5 linked regions of the Rattus norvegicus genome follow. The main gene of each other region encodes a partner of the protein of the gene in region 3 in a complex. Links are inferred from orthologs where the notes say so. Each region holds a gene or a part of one and is shown on either strand. Other genes may lie near its edges.

What was found.
Region 1: Ripk1 (region 3) and Casp8 share a complex: the UniProt entries of both Homo sapiens proteins name them as parts of the AIM2 PANoptosome complex. The link is inferred for Rattus norvegicus from reciprocal best matches to the Homo sapiens genes RIPK1 and CASP8.
Region 2: Ripk1 (region 3) and Aim2 share a complex: the UniProt entries of both Homo sapiens proteins name them as parts of the AIM2 PANoptosome complex. The link is inferred for Rattus norvegicus from reciprocal best matches to the Homo sapiens genes RIPK1 and AIM2.
Region 4: Ripk1 (region 3) and Ripk3 share a complex: the UniProt entries of both Homo sapiens proteins name them as parts of the AIM2 PANoptosome complex. The link is inferred for Rattus norvegicus from reciprocal best matches to the Homo sapiens genes RIPK1 and RIPK3.
Region 5: Ripk1 (region 3) and Zbp1 share a complex: the UniProt entries of both Homo sapiens proteins name them as parts of the AIM2 PANoptosome complex. The link is inferred for Rattus norvegicus from reciprocal best matches to the Homo sapiens genes RIPK1 and ZBP1.

What each region holds. Positions count from the first base shown.
Region 1 is NC_086027.1:67,756,848-67,760,822, forward strand, and holds the start of Casp8 (caspase-8), read left to right. Parts: upstream 1-1,173; 5' UTR 1,174-1,462; intron 1,463-3,975. UniProt on the Homo sapiens protein: Thiol protease that plays a key role in programmed cell death by acting as a molecular switch for apoptosis, necroptosis and pyroptosis, and is required to prevent tissue damage during embryonic development and adulthood.
Region 2 is NC_086031.1:88,397,182-88,401,434, forward strand, and holds the start of Aim2 (interferon-inducible protein AIM2), read left to right. Parts: upstream 1-1,440; 5' UTR 1,441-1,533; intron 1,534-4,253. UniProt on the Homo sapiens protein: Sensor component of the AIM2 inflammasome, which mediates inflammasome activation in response to the presence of double-stranded DNA (dsDNA) in the cytosol, leading to subsequent pyroptosis.
Region 3 is NC_086035.1:31,070,664-31,074,176, reverse strand, and holds part of Ripk1 (receptor-interacting serine/threonine-protein kinase 1), read left to right. Parts: intron 1-1,011; exon of another isoform or gene 1,012-1,061; intron 1,062-2,099; exon of another isoform or gene 2,100-2,364; intron 2,365-2,463; 5' UTR 2,464-2,519; coding exon 2,520-2,683; intron 2,684-3,397; coding exon 3,398-3,513. UniProt on the Homo sapiens protein: Serine-threonine kinase which is a key regulator of TNF-mediated apoptosis, necroptosis and inflammatory pathways.
Region 4 is NC_086033.1:33,252,561-33,255,801, reverse strand, and holds the end of Ripk3 (receptor-interacting serine/threonine-protein kinase 3), read left to right. Parts: coding exon 1-27; intron 28-414; coding exon 415-563; intron 564-685; coding exon 686-732; intron 733-924; coding exon 925-1,092; intron 1,093-1,189; coding exon 1,190-1,257; intron 1,258-1,470; coding exon 1,471-1,812; intron 1,813-1,914; coding exon 1,915-1,972; intron 1,973-2,479; coding exon 2,480-2,610; 3' UTR 2,611-2,731; downstream 2,732-3,241. UniProt on the Homo sapiens protein: Serine/threonine-protein kinase that activates necroptosis and apoptosis, two parallel forms of cell death. Necroptosis, a programmed cell death process in response to death-inducing TNF-alpha family members, is triggered by RIPK3 following activation by ZBP1.
Region 5 is NC_086021.1:182,419,210-182,423,522, reverse strand, and holds the start of Zbp1 (Z-DNA-binding protein 1), read left to right. Parts: upstream 1-1,505; coding exon 1,506-1,539; intron 1,540-3,156; coding exon 3,157-3,396; intron 3,397-4,313.

The sequences.
Region 1 (3,975 bases), on a different chromosome or scaffold from region 3:
CCAGAAGGCTCGTGTGCTGTGTGCTGTCCAGGGTGCTGTTTTGCTCTCCTCTCATTAATCATTTGACCCTGTTCTTTAATTGCTCATCAGCAATAAATAATCATACCTGCTGTGGTGGGGTAGCCCGACTACGAAGTATCTACCACAACTGGCCCATTCGTATGGGTCTTGGATTACAATCTGGTGGCTTTAGCAGACGCATCCCTCACTCGGGAACCCTCCAGGTAGCAGCTGGATTGTGTTGGTGACATACTGGTCTGGTTTAACCAGATTTCACTGGTTTTGTGAAACACTGTTTTGGTGTGGTTTGACAAAATGTCCCCCGTAGGTTTGAGCACTTAGTCCCTTGCTAGTGGCGGTACCTGGGGGGAGGTTGTGAAAGTGAGTCTCTGGGAGCAGCCTTGAGGTTTTTTATAGCCTGACCATACTTCCTGACCAGCCTTTTAACCCCGCCCCCACCCCGCTTCAGACAAGTTGTTACTCTGTAGCCCAGTTTAAATTGTAGTTCATCACACTGCTCACTCTGAACTCCAAGTATTGGGAAGGAAGTTAGTATGTGGTAAAATGGGATTTTAGTCTTTGTATCTACTTGATGTTCTGGACTCCATAATTCTGCCTCAGCACTGTGGAAAAACATGTTACCATGAATTCCTAGAACACGGCTAGGAGCCAGGATTTCTCCAGTGTGTGTACTTCCGAACGCTTCAACTGCAGGCCCGTGTGACCCTAAGAACAGCCTTATAATATGATCTTGGTGGGGAGACGGGTCCATGAGTTCAGTGCTGAGTTCAGACCATGCCACAAAGTAAAATTTCTCTTTCAGCGTCTCCCTTGACCATCTAACTTCACAGTGTGAACCAGGCAGTTCCGTTCTGTCTCCCTTGCTGGTTTTTTGATTCAGTGCGAAATCACTTTCTTCTTGTAGTTGGCTCCTTTGAACTGTGTGTGTGTGTGTGTGTGTGTGTGTGTGTGTGTGTGTGTGTGTGTGTGTGTGTGTGTGTGTGTGTTTCCAGTGTCTCTGGGCTAGCCTGAACTTACCAGTTCTAATCTTCCTGCCCCTACCTCCCTGAGTGCTGACATTTCTAGAGCTGGTTTACCCATCCAGTCACAAGGTATAGGGTTTCTGTATGCAAGGAGGTGGGGTTAGGGTGGGGGGAATGAGGAAGTGTCCTTAAGAACTGGCGGGCGCTCCTAAGGCGGGCAGAGAGAAGCAGCCTATGCCACCTAGTGATTATCAGAAATTAGTCATTTCTGCTCCTTAGTTCTCTCAGTTGCCTTTCTCCTCCCTCTGACCTCCGGTGTTTTATAGTTCCGCTTCTTTGAATCCATAGTAAACTTTGGCGGACTGGCCAGGGAACAGGAAGTGAGCCCGGCTAGCGGCAGCCGGAGGCGGAGAGCGTCTCCCAGGGGTTGCTCGCCCGAGAGGGGAGCTGTGACTGGCGGGGCAGGGACTCGGCGACAGGTGAGTGCTGCAGAGTAGTCCGGTTCGTTCCTCTCCTACCAGCAGGCCGCGATCCCAACGGTGGCAATCTAGCCTGACGCTCCCCGAAATGCGGCCATCGGAGTACGGTCATCGCCTCCTCCAGAAAACTTTATTCGATTTCTTAGGCTAACTTTCTTTGTAGTCCGGCTCAGGACCTAGAGCCAGGTTAATTATCCGGTGGCATCACTGTGTGTTCTCTGACTTGCGTTGGGTTTCCTCCGGCGATTTTCAGGCTCCTCCCAACTCTTAAGAGACGTCCCCCAACCCTAATCCCAAATCCTCTCTCCCTTTCTACTTCTCCAACATCTCCCCTCCCCTGTTCTCTCCCCTTTCTTCTCTTTGCCTTCCCCTTTCCCTTCCTCCTATTCTCTCATTCTCCCCCACCTCCTTCCCCTCCCCTCCCCCTCTCCCTCCCCTCTCCCTGACCCTTTTCCCTCTAAGATCTGGCCTCGAGCTTCTTGAACTTCTGATCTTTCTGCTTCCACCTCAGGAATGCTGGCAGTGCAAGGGGTGGGAGTGACAGGGTACCAGCTCTGCACTTAAAACCACAAAAACAGCAAGGGGGCTGGGGAGAGGGAGAGCTAGAGGTGGCCTGAGGCCAATAATTCCTCTACATGCTAAGCAGTTATAACAGTGACTGTCATTATGTACCAGTGAGGAATTATCATACTGTCATATTTCTATTTCTTACTATTTTTTAAAGGGAGTCCTTTAAGTGCCTTCTGCTTGGCTAGGTCTCAGTTTCATTCTTTAAAATGTATTTATCTCTATTTTAATTTAATGTCTATGAGTGTTTTGCCTGCATGTATGTATGTGCACTTGGTGTCCAGGGGGACCACAGATCTCTCGAACTGGAGCTACAGACAGTTTCAGTCACCATATGGGTGCTGGAAACTGAACCCAGTTGGTCTGCAAGAGCAGTGAGTGCTCTTAAACTCCTGAGCCTTCTCAACACCAAATCTTTCGTTTTTTTAATAAGCATGGTAGTAATCGAATTAGCATTAGGGTGATTAGCACTCCCCTTTCTCACAAATCCTATTTAAGAAGGCCCAAGCACTCATATGTGGACACGGAAGAGCTGCTGTTCATGGCTGTATGCCTCAGTGTCTCTTCCCCAGTGGGGAGGAATGTGACACCTGGGGTCATTTAGGTGTTATTCGGTTTTGCCTGGTCATTTCTGTTGTGGGTTAAGTCCAGGAACTACCAGGCTTTCTCGCACAGCCTGTACAGCAAGCATGGCCACTTCACTCGATCAGGCTGCTTTTTTTTTTTTTTAATCTTTCAACTTAAAATTCTCTAATAAGAAAGTGTGCATCTTCTTGCTTTATTTACCATTCCTCAGATTTAATGTGGCATCCTATGATCTGTGTGGGCTTAGTGCCCATCGGGGAATTCCGCGTTCATACCCATTGCCTCTTTACAGAGTTTCTTTTCATTGATGATTTTCAGGCTGCTGTTGTATGGTTCAGGTGTTACTGTGAAAGCTTCAGTTGCTACCCTCAGGAAGTTTGTGGTCTTGAACAGGAAATTCTCAGAAGTGAGCCGGAACTGGGGCAGAGGTTTCAGAAGATGCTGGAGTAACTCCGGGAGTGGATTGGGGGCACAAACAGGATTTGATTCTGCTGCTCCAATGTTGCCCAGGTTCCTGGCAGAATCAAATGCCAGCTAAAAGTCCTGATATGGTGGTGTCACCTTTGCCCAGACCTTGAGGGTGGACACGTACTTTCAGGTGACTTATTCAGTTCCCTCAGCTGTAAACTTGGGGCCCTTTACTCGGAAAACTTACCTTCTATTTTATTCTGTGTTAGGTAGCAGAAAACACAGTTTCAAAGTTCTTTTCTCTTTCTTCTCTTTAACACCAGACAGTATTTTAACTAATTCCCAGCAAGCAGCTTATGTGTTTGTACACAGGTTTGTTCACATGGTGAAGGGCCCAGTGTTTGCCTCTTTGGTGAGATGGCTGTAGGAAAACCTTTGATTTTAGGTGGGTGTTTTTGGTGTTGTTGTTTGTTTTTATTTTTGTTTCTAATGGCTGTCAGTGGGAACTATGGAACTAGAAGCAGGGAGAACACTTCTGTGTAACAAGAAGAGTCAGCTGTGGAAGTTGCAGACGCTCGAAGCCCAGGACCCCAGGCCCATCAGAGGTGAAGTACACTGGGGGCCTCTTTTTACTAGTTAATAAAAATTTAGAAATTCATCTCTTTTTCTTTTTTTATATTCTAAAAGCGAGTCAAATGAAAGTTTTTCAGTTATATCCATACGATTTTTTTTAAATCCATGTGTTTTGTTTGTTTGTTTCGGTTTTTTTTTTTTTTAAGATTTATTTATTTTATTTACAGATGGTTGTGAGCCACCATGTGGTTGCTGGGAATTGAACTCAGAACCTCTGGAAGAGCAGTCAGTGCTCTTAACCGCTGAGCCATCTCTCCAGCCCCTCATATGATTTTTCTAAATTTCATAGATAATCAGTTGTAATGTCTCCCCTTTTGCCT
Region 2 (4,253 bases), on a different chromosome or scaffold from region 3:
TATAGCTGCTAGGACAATCCTGGGTAATAAAAGAGATCTGATTATGCAGAACCCAACCTTTTTATTGTGTTGATATTTAAATCATAGAAAACCAACCACCAGCAAGTGGGTGGGTGCTGTGCCCAGGGCTGTGTTAGCCCCTTAGGCTATGAGCTCCCTGGCAATACAGGAATTACCTCTCATGGAGTTCCCTATGTCTAAAATACCTCTGGTTGAGACCTCACAGCTGAAGGAGAAATTCTGCTGAGGCTTGTCAGGAAAAGGAAACTGAAAACTAGACTTTGTTTGGGCAGAGCCTTAATATATAATTATTTTGCCCCAGCATCAGGGCTTACTTAGGACTCAGCTACAGGGCTAAGACTTGCCAAGTTTCAAAGTGAAAGGAGGCAGTAAGTACTTTCTGTCTCTCAAGACCTGATTTTCATGATTTTCATGTCCTACCACTAATAGTGAACATCTTTGTGAGGTGAATGGTTTGAACTATCAGGATTTACACCAGTCCCCGAATTGAGGACTTAGGCTGCTGCAGAGAGAAAAATCCAGGGAGGTAAGTAAGGTATGTCAGAAATTTTCCGGAAAAAGCTTTAGGACCATTTTGCTAATCAGTAAATTAGGAGGAAAGAGGAGTCATGGGCTTCTGTGGTTAGAAGGAAGGATTATATTCCAGAAAAGAATAAGGCTGCAGGGAGCCTGGTTCTAAACCCTCAGTTGACTGTGGAACACACGTTATCTTTTATTGTACTACAACTGAGACCTTTACAAAAGAAAGTGCATTTGGTTGTGGCAGGAATTAGAACATATTGTTCAGAGGGTTGACCCAGACTGAGCCTAAAAGGAACTCTGATTTTCTGGGTGTGTTGGTCTGTAGGTGTTTTATTGACATGGATTTATATTTAGAAGAGGGTTTTTGGTTTCTAGCTGAAGGGGAAAAGCAACATAGGGGGTAGAGAGCAATTTCTCGATATAAGTTAAGAATAACGGCATGGCAGAAAGCCTATGATGTCACATTAGCTTGAAAGCATGGAGCTTGAAACTCTAAGTAACCTTCCCATCGAAGACATGTCAAGTCAAGCAGATCATGTTATTCCATAATCCCAGATGTTCAAGTGGCCCGGCATTTTTTCAAAAATTATGTATGCTTTTAATCTCCATTTCCTTTACTTTATTAGGTATTAGAAAATTCATTTCGGTCTACTTCCAACTGGATCCCACTTCTTTCCCACTTCCGTAGTGAAATCCCTAGAATTTGGGGGAAAGAGTGTTCCTATGATATCTGCAGAGGTTTGTATACCTGCTGGTGGCTTGGGAAGGTTTTGGGACTTTCACAAAGTAGAACTTACTGGAGAAACCTTATTGGAGGAAGTGGGACACTGAGGGCGGGCTGTGAGAGGTGATAGGCTGTCTCACTTGTAACTCTGCTTCCTGTATGAGAAAGAATTACAACTCGCCTGCCTCCTGTCCTGCCTGCTGCCACGCTTTTCTTACTGGCTACTATGTTTTCCCTGGCCTGAAGAACTCCACCCTCATGGACCTGTAAGTAAAAATAAAATCTACTTCTCCCCTATGCTGCTGATGTTCATTTTATCAAAGCAGAAAAGAAACTAATACAGTAACGACTCTTTGAAAGTCACTGATAACCTTTGTGCCCTTACTGAAAGCGTGGTAGATATTTCTAAGTATGGATCAGAACATAGTTGTTAATTATGTTTTTAAATCTTTTTGCTTTTTATGTTATTTTATTCTTGGCTATTTAAAACTTTAGTTATCGAAGGAACTGTTTTGTAAGTCCCGATCCTCAAGGCACATTTGTCATTTGTTCATGGAGAACTGTCAGACTTTGTTCACAGCTGTTGGCTTTACTCAGTGAGGGGCATACTGTTTAGAACTGTTATATTTGCCTTAGTGACTTTAACATTTAATCATTGTATAGCAACTCTGTCCTTAATGGCACTATTTGTCTTAGAGTCTTCTCTGACTAATATTAATAGAGCTGTTCTAACTAGGGCTTTTGTGCTTAGTGCCTGATACATAGGTCCACATTTCTGCTTCGCGACTCTTCAGCACTTCAGTTTCCCCAATGTATCTTTTGTAAACACCCTAGGAGCCACAGTGGGTTTTAATCCAGTTTAGCATTCCTTTTAAACCTGTGAGTCTAATTCATGTGTGTTCTGTCCATTGAGATATTTGAATCTTGTGTGACCGTCTTATATCCCTTCATATGATGTTTCCTTTTCCATGTCTGTTTTCTTCTTTTTAAACAATTCGCTTAAGATTAGTCTTTATACAGAATGATGCCTACTGTGATAGTCGTGTTTTCAAAAGTACCATTCATACATCTCGCGGGGACATGCCATTTATCATTACCCAGAAAATGATTTCTGATGTGGGTTTTGGGGAAATGCTGTAACGTAGAGTTTACTGCTTCAGGGAGGTGAATGAGCACACAGCATAGCCACTCTGAAGTGGAAGGCCCTGTGTGATTTAGTACATAGACAAGGCTGTATACCTTCCCCTGAATCTAGCTCCAAGATATGAGACTTGCTCTTTCTATTTATCCCCACAACTGTTTAAATATTACCTTCTCAAAGAGACACAGTCACTACCAACTTGAGTTACACCACACAGGCCCAGCCCACGTTCTTAATGAAAACTATGTGCTATACATACTTATACTTGTTTTGGAAATAGTGAAGAAATCTTGTCTGATTCATGACTCACTTCCTCTCAGACTTGTAAGATGCCTGACTGGACAAAATGAGCTGATTTGTGAACAACGGCTGTTGATTTCCTGGTTTATCTCTCAAATGCGTCTCTTTTGCATTTTTTATTTTAAAAAGGAGTTTTGCAAGTTTTTAAGACATACGGGTTGGCTGTTTAATCACAAGTTCATAGGGAGTGTAGCAAAGTTTGGGTCTTTTGGGATACTCCCATGACGCAACTGCATAATCTGTCGTGGGGGCAGCCCGACCTGCAGCAATCATTCTCAGGGGAAGGCATGTTGGTACTGGCACGGCGCTGTGTGGTTTGGAGAGCTCTCTCTGCCATGTTACATATTAAATCCTCATAGTACCATCTCCTGCTGTCCATATTTAACTGATGGCGAATCAACCCCATGAGATAAGTACAAGTTAGGGTCAGAGCCTGATTTATATACTCCTGTCTTGGTACCACCTTTTACTAGGGCATTTTTCTAAGTTAAATCTGGACACCCATCTGTAGTTGTGATTTTTGGAGATTTGTAAGAAGCCGTTCAATCGACATCAAGTAGTGACCTGATATATAGCTGCTCACCACGGGAACAAAGCCTTAGGCATCTGTTGTCCAGAGTCTGGTGGAGTGGATGTTTGTCGTGAGGCTTTTCTAAGAAGAAGAATGCTGTCTGACATTTCAAAGTCTCTTTTAGTTGCTTGCTCTCCCCATAGCATGATAAATATAAACTTCACACTATAATAATAACATATGTTGTGCACACCAGGTGTCAGGTATACCTTATGAATTGCATACTTATGTAATTTAGCCACATCTCACGTGGAGTCTGTGCAGTAGGGACCATCAGACGATTCTTCATCAAAGTACTAGAAAACATCTTTGATCCCATCACAGAGCTAGAAAGTGAAAACATGTAATTCTAACACATGTAGTCTCTGTACCAGGAAAATATCACCCAATAGAAATATAATATAAATAAATACACTTACATTTTCTAGTAGCTACCTTAAAAAACAAAAGCAAAACCCAATAACAGCAGCCCAATATGTTTGATTAAAGTCAAAGTATCCAAAATATTTACTGAGTCTTCAAAACTCTGGCATATATTTTGTTCTCAGAGAACGTAATTTCTGGTGGTAAATTTTCATCTATATTTACATTTATATTTATATATATTTAAAATTCACAAAATTTACAGTTGAAAATGTAGGTTTACATATTCAAGTAATTTTAATCACACTGATTTTTCTAGAAACCAAATTGAGTTTGTTTTTAATTAAAATTAAATATAATATAAAATTCAGTCCTGTCAGCTGCACACATGAAATATTTGAGAACTGCATCTAGTTGTTGTAAGCAGGTTGCTCTGGAATTCAAGCCTGTTTTCTATTTGTTTACTAATTAACTGATTAATTGATTTCTGGTGTGTATGTGTGTGTGACATACATGTGTGTGTCCGTCTGTCCGTTGGTCTGTCTGTCTGCGTATGCATGCCAGAGTTCAGGGTGGGGTATCTTCCTTGATTTGCTCTCCATTTTATTCTT
Region 3 (3,513 bases):
TGGATTCTCAGAGTCCTGGTGTTATAAACCTAACAACAGGACTTACCGTAGCTATAACTATGAAGCAGGCAAATGTATTTTCACATGTTACTTTCTCATAAAATTCCTTGCCAGTCCCAAGATGGGCTGTTATTTCCTTTCACAGATGAGGAAATGGAGGCTTAAGTAAGTTCCTTAAAGTCACGAGGCAAATGAATTAAGAGTTCATACTCTCCAGAGGAAGATCCTTGCTCTGCACTCCCTTAATGGTTCCTGCTAGCACGCTTCTAGTGCCTTCCTTACTCCTCAGCCTTCACTCCTTCATCTGGGCCACCTCCTCTCTTTGCCGCTGCCCCACTCCTAGTCATCTTCCTTGGCAGTGCCTGAGATGGAGAAGATCATTTGATGTGCCCCTCTGATATCAGCTGTGCTGTTATGCTGGTGTCCTCTAGGAAGCCTCTATAGAGTGTAGAAGATTCACATACCCAAGCATTCTGCCGCAAGCCACTAGACAAGACTATAGGCACCCTACCTTTGCTTGTGAGTTATTGTCTATTCCTTGAATAACTCTAAGATAAAGTGTCTGCAACTTGTAGACCTAGATGTTCCTAATGACAGAAAACTTGTCACCTAAATTATCCAAAACCTTTGACACAGTGTTAAGAGGATTCCCAAAACCAGGCCTGCTAAATAGCGGTGCTTTTGTACTTCTTAATACTATTAAATGTCTTAGGTTTTCAACCAGAGCGAAGCACACTGGGGCCATGTCTTCCACTGTGAACAGTTTCCTTTGGGGGTGACAGAGCTCTCAGGAAGAGTCTTTACTTCATGGGAGATGACTATCATAGTTTCACCCCTTTTAAAGCTATCACCTCAGACATGTTCTTCATATACTTCTTAGGTCTTCTGGATTTTCTCTTTGGTCATTTCTTCACCTTTTAGGTACTCATTAAAATGTATTGAAACCCATAAGCTACTGTTTCCTTGTGTTTTACCTTCCTTCCTTTGAGGTTTTCTGTCTTCTTTTCACAGCATTCAGAGTGGGAATAAACTTGGCTTGCGTTGAATGGACACTGTTTATAGTGAGTAACCTCCTATGTATGGGTGACCAAGATGTTGAATTCAGCTGTGACATTCATCCTAGCACTGTGGCTGCCCTCTACCTACCCACCAGGGCACTCTCCTTCAAGTTCTCCTCCTGAGGAACACTGAATGTCACTCCTCAGAGATAGGCAGATCTCATGAGTCATCACGTCTTTTTCACGTCTTACTGTTCAGCATTATTCTTTTTATATTCTTCTAGTCCCTAACTTCGCTCATAATTACTTGTGTCATATATATTTCCTAATATTATTCAATATACTAATTACCTGATGTTCTTACCCTGTGCTTACTACTGCTGTCTATTATATACATATAGTCTAGCTCATAAGGAATGTTTTATTTTGTTATTTATACTTTTGGAAAGGGAACTTATGTCTAACATGCCTCCAAGTTGTTTTGTTGGTTTTAACATTAAAATCTAAGAATATCATCAGACTATGACCTCTTTCTACATAAGCATTCTTAGTTTGGGGAAATCACTCCTGCCCTAAAGAGAATGTCCTAAAGACAAAGTGCAAGGCATTGGGGATTTAGCTCAGTGGTAGAGCGCTTGCCTAGCAAACACAAGGCCCTGGGTTCGGTCCCCAGCTCCGGAAAAAAAAAAAAAAAAAAAAAAAAAGACAAAGCCCAAATTTATTTGAAGATGGCTCAGGTTATGAATTCACAGAGAATCTTTTTTAACCTCATTCCTAGTCATAGACACATGTATTTATTGGTAGCGATGGCTTTTTTTTTTCCCAGTCCATCTTTCTACTGAGAAGCTGAGGAGGTCCAAACTATGAGGAGGGCCTCACTCCAACCCTCTTGTATTGCAGACCACCTCCACTCCTAACCTAGAGCTACAATAGTAAAATTGCCACCATATGAGTCATTACCCCTATCCAGTGCTCAGTCTACTTTTTGTCTGTAGAATTTTTCCTTTCCGCTGTACCAAACTATGAATTTCGGTGGATGCTCAAGCCATGTTAGCTAACACATACGTAGCTTCCTGACAGAATGTTATCATTTTTTTCTAGTGTTCCATGATGCCAGAAATGAAGCATCCACTGGAATAAAAAAAATCAGTCTTCTATATCTCTTGGCTGAACAACTCATGTCACAGATTATACTTTTCCTCAAGAAAAACAAAGGCACTCCACATATGTGGTCCTTCGGGAGTTGAGGAGTTCTGAAACAGGACTCCCTGTATTGTTCTAACTGGTCTGGGACTCACTGTGGAGTACAAGCTAGCCTCAGACCTTCAGTCCTCCTGACTCAGCCTCCTGGGTAATAGGATTCCAGGCATGTACCGCTATCCCTGACAACATGCAGTATTTTTGGTTTTGGTTTTTTAAATCGTGGTCTTTTTGCCCTGAAATATCCTCTCTGATTGCTTTATAGGACACAGCCCTAAGCAAGAACCAAAGGTGGTGGGCTGCAGATTCTGAGCGTTCAAGATGCAGCCAGACATGTCCTTGGACAATATTAAAATGGCATCCGATGACCTGCTGGAGAGGAAAGACCTGGACAGCGGAGGCTTCGGGAAGGTGTCCTTGTGTTTCCACAGAACCCATGGATTTGTCATCCTGAAAAAAGTATACACGGGACCCAACCGCGCTGAGTGAGTCGGGAGCAGAAATGGGTTTCTGACTGCAGAAGGTAGTTGTCTCCAACTCTGTGGCTAAACACATAAAGTTTTAAATGAGGCTGACCTGCGGGGAGACTTGGCACACTGGCTTGATGAAGGGTGCCCATAACTCTTATTATTATGTTGGATGAGGACTTTGGAGTTAATTAAAAAGATATTAGTGCTTGATGGGAATGTGTGGGAAAGGCATCCCTGAAGACAGGAAGCTGGATAGTAAGGGAGGCCATGAGAAGAAGTCAGAGCCGTGGATACAGACACTGAAGCCTGGTACAAAAAGAGGCCAGTCCCATCATGGGAAATCCCAGCCACCCTGTGAGAGGCTGTAAAGGTGGAGGGCTTCTCTCCTCCTCAGGCTGGTTTGAGAGGGATGCCTGTCTTATTGTGTTTCCCAGTTCAGTCTCCATCAGGCCAGACCAGCGCTGAATTTTTCATTAATTGATTTGCTGCCATGAGTGCCCGGCTTCCAGTTCCTAAGACAAGGCAGGAGGGAGGGGTTTAGATGAAGAGAAGCCTCCCTGCCCCCCTAGGACCTGTCTGCCTGGAGGAGACCGGAACAGACCTGATTGTGACAAATGTTTGCAATATGGCTCGCACTGCAGGGACACTGGAGCTTCTTAGGCACCTGGGTAGAAGGGTTTGCCCTGCCCTGCTCAGCCCTGCTCAGCCTAGCTGCTCTCCTGCCCACAGGTACAATGAGGCTCTCTTGGAAGAGGGGAAGATGATGCACAGACTGAGACACGATCGAGTGGTGAAGCTACTGGGCATCATCATAGAGGAGGGGAATTACTCGCTGGTGATGGAGT
Region 4 (3,241 bases), on a different chromosome or scaffold from region 3:
CTGCTGGATCCAGAGCTCCACGCCAAGGTTAGTCCATCTACAACCTAGTGTAGGCTTGGGACTGTGTTGAATACCCTTGGCCTGTCAAGGCTACACGGGTGACAAGACCCACCTAGGAGTTCTACCTCTAGTCAGACCAGCTGACCCTCCTTATGAGAGGTCCTCCTTACCCTCCTGGGTCAGTTCCACGGGCCTAAAGCCCTCCCCACCCCCCATGGACCCAGGCTGACTTATCTCAGGCTTGCCTGCCCATTAGCAACTCAGATCTCCTGCTAAGGTCTCAATGACTCGATCTTCCCTCTGCTCCTCCATACCACCTCCCAAAAGCTGAGGCTGCATCTTCTGGGAGCAAGAGAGGAAAAAAAAATCTCTGGCCCTTTTCATCTAATACCTTCCTTTTCCTTTCCTTTACAGTTAGCAGACTTTGGCCTGTCCACATTTCAGGGAGGGTCACAGTCAGGGTCAGGGTCAGGATCGAGAGATTCTGGGGGCACCCTAGCTTACTTGGCCCCAGAGCTGTTGGATAATGACGGAAAGGCTTCTAAAGCAAGTGATGTTTACAGGTAAACTGTCCGCCCCAAATACACTCCACATTTCTATACCTATTTGGGCCCTTCTAAAGGGTACGATATGGGAAAATAGTCTTGCCAGAGGCCATCCAAGCCTCCACTTTCTGTCTGTACAGTTTTGGGGTCCTCGTGTGGACAGTGCTGGCTGGAAGAGAAGCTGAGGGTAAGACTCTAAATGGACTCTTAGCTCAGGTGCCCGAAAGCATCTAAAACCCCTAGAGCCCTCCCTCCCTGACCTACTAAGACTGCCCTCTTCCCACCTCGCCTCTTGCCTGGATGGCTCTCCCTTCTTCTGTCCGTGATAGAATGGGGTGTCTCCTCATTTCATGAATTCTTTTGTTACCCCCGACTCCAGTGGTAGACAAGACCTCACTAATTCGTGGAGCAGTGTGTAACAGGCAGAGGCGACCTCCATTGACAGAGCTGCCTCCGGACAGCCCTGAGACTCCTGGCTTAGAAGGACTGAAGGAGTTAATGACGCATTGCTGGAGTTCTGAGCCTAAAGACAGGCCATCCTTCCAAGGTGAGTAACCCATGTCTCTGGCACTAGGATAGTTTGGGTCTTCAGCAGGAAGCTTTTCCAAGAAGTCCTACTCATCTACAACTCTGTTGTCTTTCAGACTGTGAATCAAAAACCAATAATGTTTACATCCTGGTACAGGACAAGGTAGATGCTGCTGTCTCCAAGGTGAGTTTCTAACACTGCCTTCCCACCCCGGAACTGTTCAGTGGCTCCCTCAACCACCCGGTTTATCTCCACTGTCTACCATTATTTAATCCTTGACTCTCATTCCTGTTCACCCAAACCTACTCCTTAGTCTCCAGAGACCAAGAAAATATTCACTGGGGCTTACTCTGGCTGCCCCAGCTCCTGACGCACAAGGTCCTCCTGTCTACGCAGGTAAAGCATTATCTGTCTCAGTACAGAAGCAGTGACACAAAGTTGTCTGCCAGAGAGTCCAGCCAAAAAGGTACAGAGGTGGATTGCCCCAGGGAAACCATAGTTTATGAAATGCTGGACCGCCTGCATCTGGAGGAGCCCTCTGGATCAGTTCCTGAAAGACTCACAAGTCTTACTGAGAGGAGAGGAAAGGAAGCATCATTTGGGCATGCCACACCAGCAGGGACATCATCTGACACCTTGGCTGGCACTCCCCAAATTCCACATACTTTACCCTCCAGAGGCACAACACCTAGGCCAGCCTTTACTGAGACTCCAGGTCCTGACCCCCAAAGGAATCAGGTGAGACATTGGCAAGACTAGAGCACGCCCTCTTAGCAAGGAGAACTTCATGGTGATGAGATTAGCCTCTTAGAAAGCCTGAGAACTCTGTGTTGTTTGCAGGGAGATGGAAGAAACAGCAATCCTTGGTACACCTGGAACGCACCAAATCCAATGACAGGTACCCATTCTTCATCCTCTGTTGCCCTCCCTGCTCAGCTCTCCCATCACCTTCTTCCTCAGCACCCATCTATGGACTCCAGTTACTCTGGAGTTGGAAAGGAATGACTATAGATCACCTAACCCAGTCTGCCTCTGTTTAATACATGAGGGACTTGACATCCATTAGGAGAGGATCCCACTGAGGTCACACAGCCAAAGTCGGAACCTGCTAACTTTTCCCCAGCACTAAGTCTGTGAGCCCCCACAGTTCCTCTATGACTAAGGCAGTCCAGAGAGTCTCCCATCAAAGACACCCAAACAGCAAGCACTACTCCTTTGAGCTTCTACAAGACTAATTCTGAAGAGGCACTGCTCATAGTGAGACCCAGTTGCGAGCAGGTGAAGACCCTACGTTTGCATTCCCCCGGATGAACACAAGGTGTCGCTGCCCCTCGCCCCAAAGTGCTCGTTAACCTTTCTAACTTTTGAACCCTCTCACTACCACTACCTCCTTTTCCTCTTAAAGGGCTACAGTCTATTGTCTTAAACAACTGTTCTGAAGTGCAGATTGGACAACACAACTGCATGTCAGTACAACCGAGAACTGCCTTTCCCAAGAAGGAGCCAGCACAGTTCGGCAGGGGTAGGGGCTGGTAGCCCGTCCACGTCCACGAGTAGACTTCGGAGAGGACCTGCAAGTGCCTGAAGCAGGAAATACACCATTCAGGCAGCCAGTATAAATAGAGTGAAAATAAAAGCACTTTCTAAGCAACCTGAACTGACTAAGACATTTTTTTTTGCCACTTCCTGTAGCTCACGGCATTCTTTGAAGACAGTTAGACCTACACCCAAACTGACTTTTGACTTACCTCCGAAAAGTCAATCTATACAACATGTTAACTATGAGTGAGTCTGAGGTGTCAATCCAGGGCATTAGGGATGGACAGCCAGGAGCTGGCTACCCTGGAGGGTGGAGGGGAAGTTGGTGCTACAGGAAAAGGGGATCTGGGAACGAGATATAGGCGACCTCTCAGCTCATAGGGTCAGGGTCCAGCTGGTGGCAGGATGAAATCAGAGGCTTGGCTCTGTGATACTCCAATCTCAGGGTGGGGTATTTCCTCCAGAGCTCAGGGCTAATACCACCCTAAGCCTAGACTGACAGGACGGAAGTTGGAGTCACACCGCTCCCTTTTTCTCCTTGATTTTGAACACTGGGCTTTGGGGCCCTGGTGAAGGAAAGTGTCTCAGGAAATTCAAAGGTGCCCCAGGCTCTCTAGACCACCATAGT
Region 5 (4,313 bases), on a different chromosome or scaffold from region 3:
GATCTGATGCCCTCTTCTGGCCTGCAGGGTATATGCAGATAGAGCCCTCACATACCTAAAATCAATCAATAAATAAATCTTTCATAGTCTTAAGATTTATATATTATGTATAGAGTACTCTGCGGGTTGAGGGACATTTTTAGAGGGGTCGCCTAAGACCCTTGGAAAGCACAGATCTTTACATTACGTTACAGTTACATAACAGTAGCCAAATCCCAGTCAGGAAGTGTTGACGAAGGTAATTCCTATGGCTGGGGAATCACCACAGCGTGAGGAACTGTATTAAAAGGTTGCAGAGTTAGGACAGTTGAGAACCGCTGACCTAGGAGGCCCTGACTCCTTCCAGGTCTGCTAATGTAAGGAACAGAAGGGAAGACCTGTAAAGGATGCTCAAGAAAGAAGCGAGGAAAGCGGGCATGTCCTGAAGCCCGGTTAAGTCTGAAGCCACCTTGGCCAGGGATCAAGCAAGACCCCCTGGGCAACAGGCGGTTGGTGAGCAGGCACCACCTAGTGGTCAGTCTCCAAAATGACATCTCTAGGGAACTGGGGCAATGTCCCCCAACAGGCCAGGTTGAGAGCTTGTTTAAAAGCCACCTTATTTATTTTGGGTGCCACAGGCAGTGCAGTTTCTGTTTTCCTTGGCTGGTTCTGCAGGCACTGTTTTTCCTCCCTGGAAGTCATAAAAAGCACTTGGAAATGTTAAAGTTTTCCCAAGCTGTGCGGATCTGGCCTGATGGTGGCCTGCCTGGTGACCTTTTCAGGCTCCGAGAGGTAAAGCTGACTGGGGACCTGCTGCCAGCTGCTTGCTTTGCAGACATCACCTCCTTCTGGTCTCCATTGACTGTTCCTGTCCCGCCCTGTGCACCAGGGACCTGCACACCAGACAGGTCCCCCCACCCTGTAGCTGGGACCCAGATTCAGGGATTATTATGGGCTGAGTGGTGAACACAAGGCCATCTCTGTGAGTCTCCATCCCCCTCTCCCGTAATATGGACAGAGAGGTGTCTGAACTGTTCTCGGGCCGCTGAGAATTTATGAAAGTGAAAGGAGTCTGTCTCTTCTTCTAAAACATATGTGGGTAGACAGTACTAGACCAGGCAGGAGAGGCACCGTGGGTGCCTTTTCCTAGATCACCATCTTCCTCCTCACAGGGCTTTCAGAGTCCTCTTCAGGTCTCACTCTTCCCGTGGGCAGTCCCACCCCAGAGGCCAAGACCCCGCTCTTTTCTGTCACATGGTCTGTCCAACTCCAGCTTCCTCATCCACCCTGATTTTGACAATTCTTTCATTCGAGAATCACACCAAAGTTTCATTTTCTGTTTCTTCAGAAAGCCAGAGGGCGGGGAAGGGGTGCAGCCAGATGGGTATTAGTTTCCGGGGTGGTAACAGCTGGTGTCTGCAGGTCCAAACAAGCATTCTTTCTTGTGGACTCAGAGCCCCAGGCCTGGCCACAGTGCTGGGACCTGCCACCCCCACCCCTAAAAGTGCCCCACGGCTGCTGGGAGCATGGCGGAGGCTTCTGTGGACCTGGGCACGGGAGGTAAGTTAAACTCTTCCTTCACCACCTTTGGGTCCTGGGTGAAGTTTCTACGGCTCCTGGCTGTTTCCTTAGCCCAGACGGCAGCAGGACTCTGAGGTCACCACAGAGAAGTCAGCTTGCTTCAGGGATCCTGTGCCCCAGATCCTTCATGTCCTCTTACCTCATAGATGAGGTCACCAAGGCCTGTGACAGGCCTGGGGCTCTGAACTGTCATCTCGAGAGAGGACTTTGCTTTGATAGGAAGATGTGACTTTGATTTTGTAGTCAAGCTTTTCTCCTGCCCTAGTCAAATCCTTGCTGCAATCATGTAGTCCATCTAGGGGCTTCTGGGCTATGGGAGGCTACGGGGTGCAGGGCTGTGTGAGGCTGCGATGCTGTGGACAGGATTTAATTTACTGCTTGTCTAGGTCCTTCTGGGTTATCCTTTCTTATTTCAGACCTGGAAACATACTAGAAGTTGCTGCTCATAAGCTATCAGGGAGGGGCCAGGCCAGGTGCCAGTTTCTTTCCTGGGCAAAGAAGACCAGGAACTAAAACTCGCCTGACTCCTGTAGTTTCCTAACACTACTAACCTGTCCAGCCTTACCAACTCCAGTCTTCTGCTTCCTAACGTCCCGCTTTCAGACCCTGCAACCAGTCCTTCAAGCCCACCCTTTGGGGAAGGCTTTGCCTCTCTTGTGTGTCTTTAGGGGTCAGTGGGGGAGGGGAGGGGAGGGGAGCCTGCTACACGACACACTCCCCAGCAAAGGTTTCTCAAGGCAAGGCAAAGCCAACCCAGGAATAGAGATGCTAAGTCCTCTAATTCCAGCACTGCAGTGGGGGTGGATCTGGGGCTGAAGCAGGAGGATTGCTGTGAATTTCAAGCTAGCCTGAGCTATATGGTAAGACTTTGTCAGGAGAGGAAAGAAAGAAAGTTAAAGGCAGACACACGGACAAGCAGACGAACCTGCTGAAAGGAGCATGAGGTGGGACTTGGGGGACCCTCGGGGTTAGGCACAGAGGAGGCTGGTTGGCTAGCAGAGGCCCATCGAAGCTCCCGGTGGAGGGATCTGGGGGCAAGCTTTCTGGAGTTGGTGGCCATCTGGAAGATGGCTTCAAGGCCCAGGTAAAAGAACTGAGCTGGGTTTTCCGGGGCTCCTGCTCTATCAGGCATGGGAGGAGAGACCCATTTCTCTTATCTGCTGGACTCCTGACCTGGGAACACCCACACCATAGATGTGGGTGCTGAGCTGGAGAGAAAGGGAGTCCCTGGCCGGGCTGGGAGAGACATCAAGACACCACGGAGGGACTTCAGGGCCAGACTTGGTTTCACACCTCTCCCTCTTGCTCCATCGTCTGAGGGCTGAGGGTTCCTACCTGCTTGACTTCCACATAGTACACAGGGCAGGCTGCATATGACTTTACCACTCCAGACATCTATCTGTGGAGCCAGCGTTCACCTGACTGACACCCTCGCCTCCGACTGGTATCCTCGCTTACTGTCTGCTTGGCCCAGGTCACGGGTGCCTTCTCTGCTCTAGGGTCTCTCCGGAGATCCCTCCTGTGCCCGGAAGCTTGGATGCAGGGTGTCCCCGGGGACTAGGCTTGACTCAGTTCTTCTCTGTGTTCCTCCCCGAGACAACCTGGAGCAGAAGATCCTGCAGGTGTTGAGTGATGCTGGTAGTCCTGTGCAGATCGACCAGCTGTTGAAGAAGTTACAAGTGCCCAAGAAAATCCTCAACCAAGTCCTTTACCGCCTGAAGAAAGAGGGCCGAGTGTCCTCGCCGGCGCCAGCGACGTGGTCCTTAGGTGGAGATGGGGCTTCCGGAGATGGGGCTCCCGAGATCCCTGAGGACTCCGCTGCCCAGCCTAGCCTTGGTAATCTGTCACGTCGGCAGAGCAGAAGCCCCTCCCCCCACCACCACATACACCCCTTAAGAGCCATCTTGTCATAGGCAAGCCCAGATTCAGGCTTGGCTTCAAATCTGAGCTCGGCCATCCCCTCTCTGTCTCTGGATTTCTCCCGGCCAATGGAGCTAATGTTGAGCCTAGGGCTTAGCCATAGAAGGCTTGCAGTAGACAACAGCAGGGTCAAAGACACAACCCAGGCAATAGTCACAGCGAGAGTGAGGGCTGACGGTAAGTAAGGATTCACTCAGAGCCTTCGGGTGACTTTGAGAGCCACGGAGAAGAAAGGACCCACAGTTCCAAGTGCTGACACTGCCCCCGCCCCCCCCCCCCCCACACCAGAGCCATCTTGCCTTCATTCAACCCTCAGACAGAGACAGGAAAGGAAGCAGCCTCAACCTTCAACAGACAGCATCCATGACCCAAGCAGATCGGAAGCCCTGGGACCCAGCCTAATGTGCTGTCCCCCAGCTCTCCGGAGAAACTATTCTGTTTTTAATGGAGCAGGGCATCTCCTGTCTTCAACTGACACATCCTTCTTCCAGTCCCAAGACCCTAATGAGATGTGGGTGCAGCTCCAGAGAGTCCTGGCCTGCATCTCGGTGCATGCTGGAGGCCTCCCCAGACCCCTGAAGCTCCATGGGAGTGTCAGAGGCCAGACTCACTGTTAGAAGAGAGAGGTTCTAAATGGTGAGATGTGGGCTCTGACACCCCTGCGTCAGTCTGCGCCAGTCTCTAGGGTGAGAGCCTCATCCGCTTGGTCTCCAGAGGACCACTGTCCCCAAGATGACCCAATATGTGCTTCTGACAGACCCTCGCCATGTCCCTGGGCTTCACGAGTATCCCAGGCCACAGGCAGTAGGTGGTGGGTAGATGCAAGCCCAGGG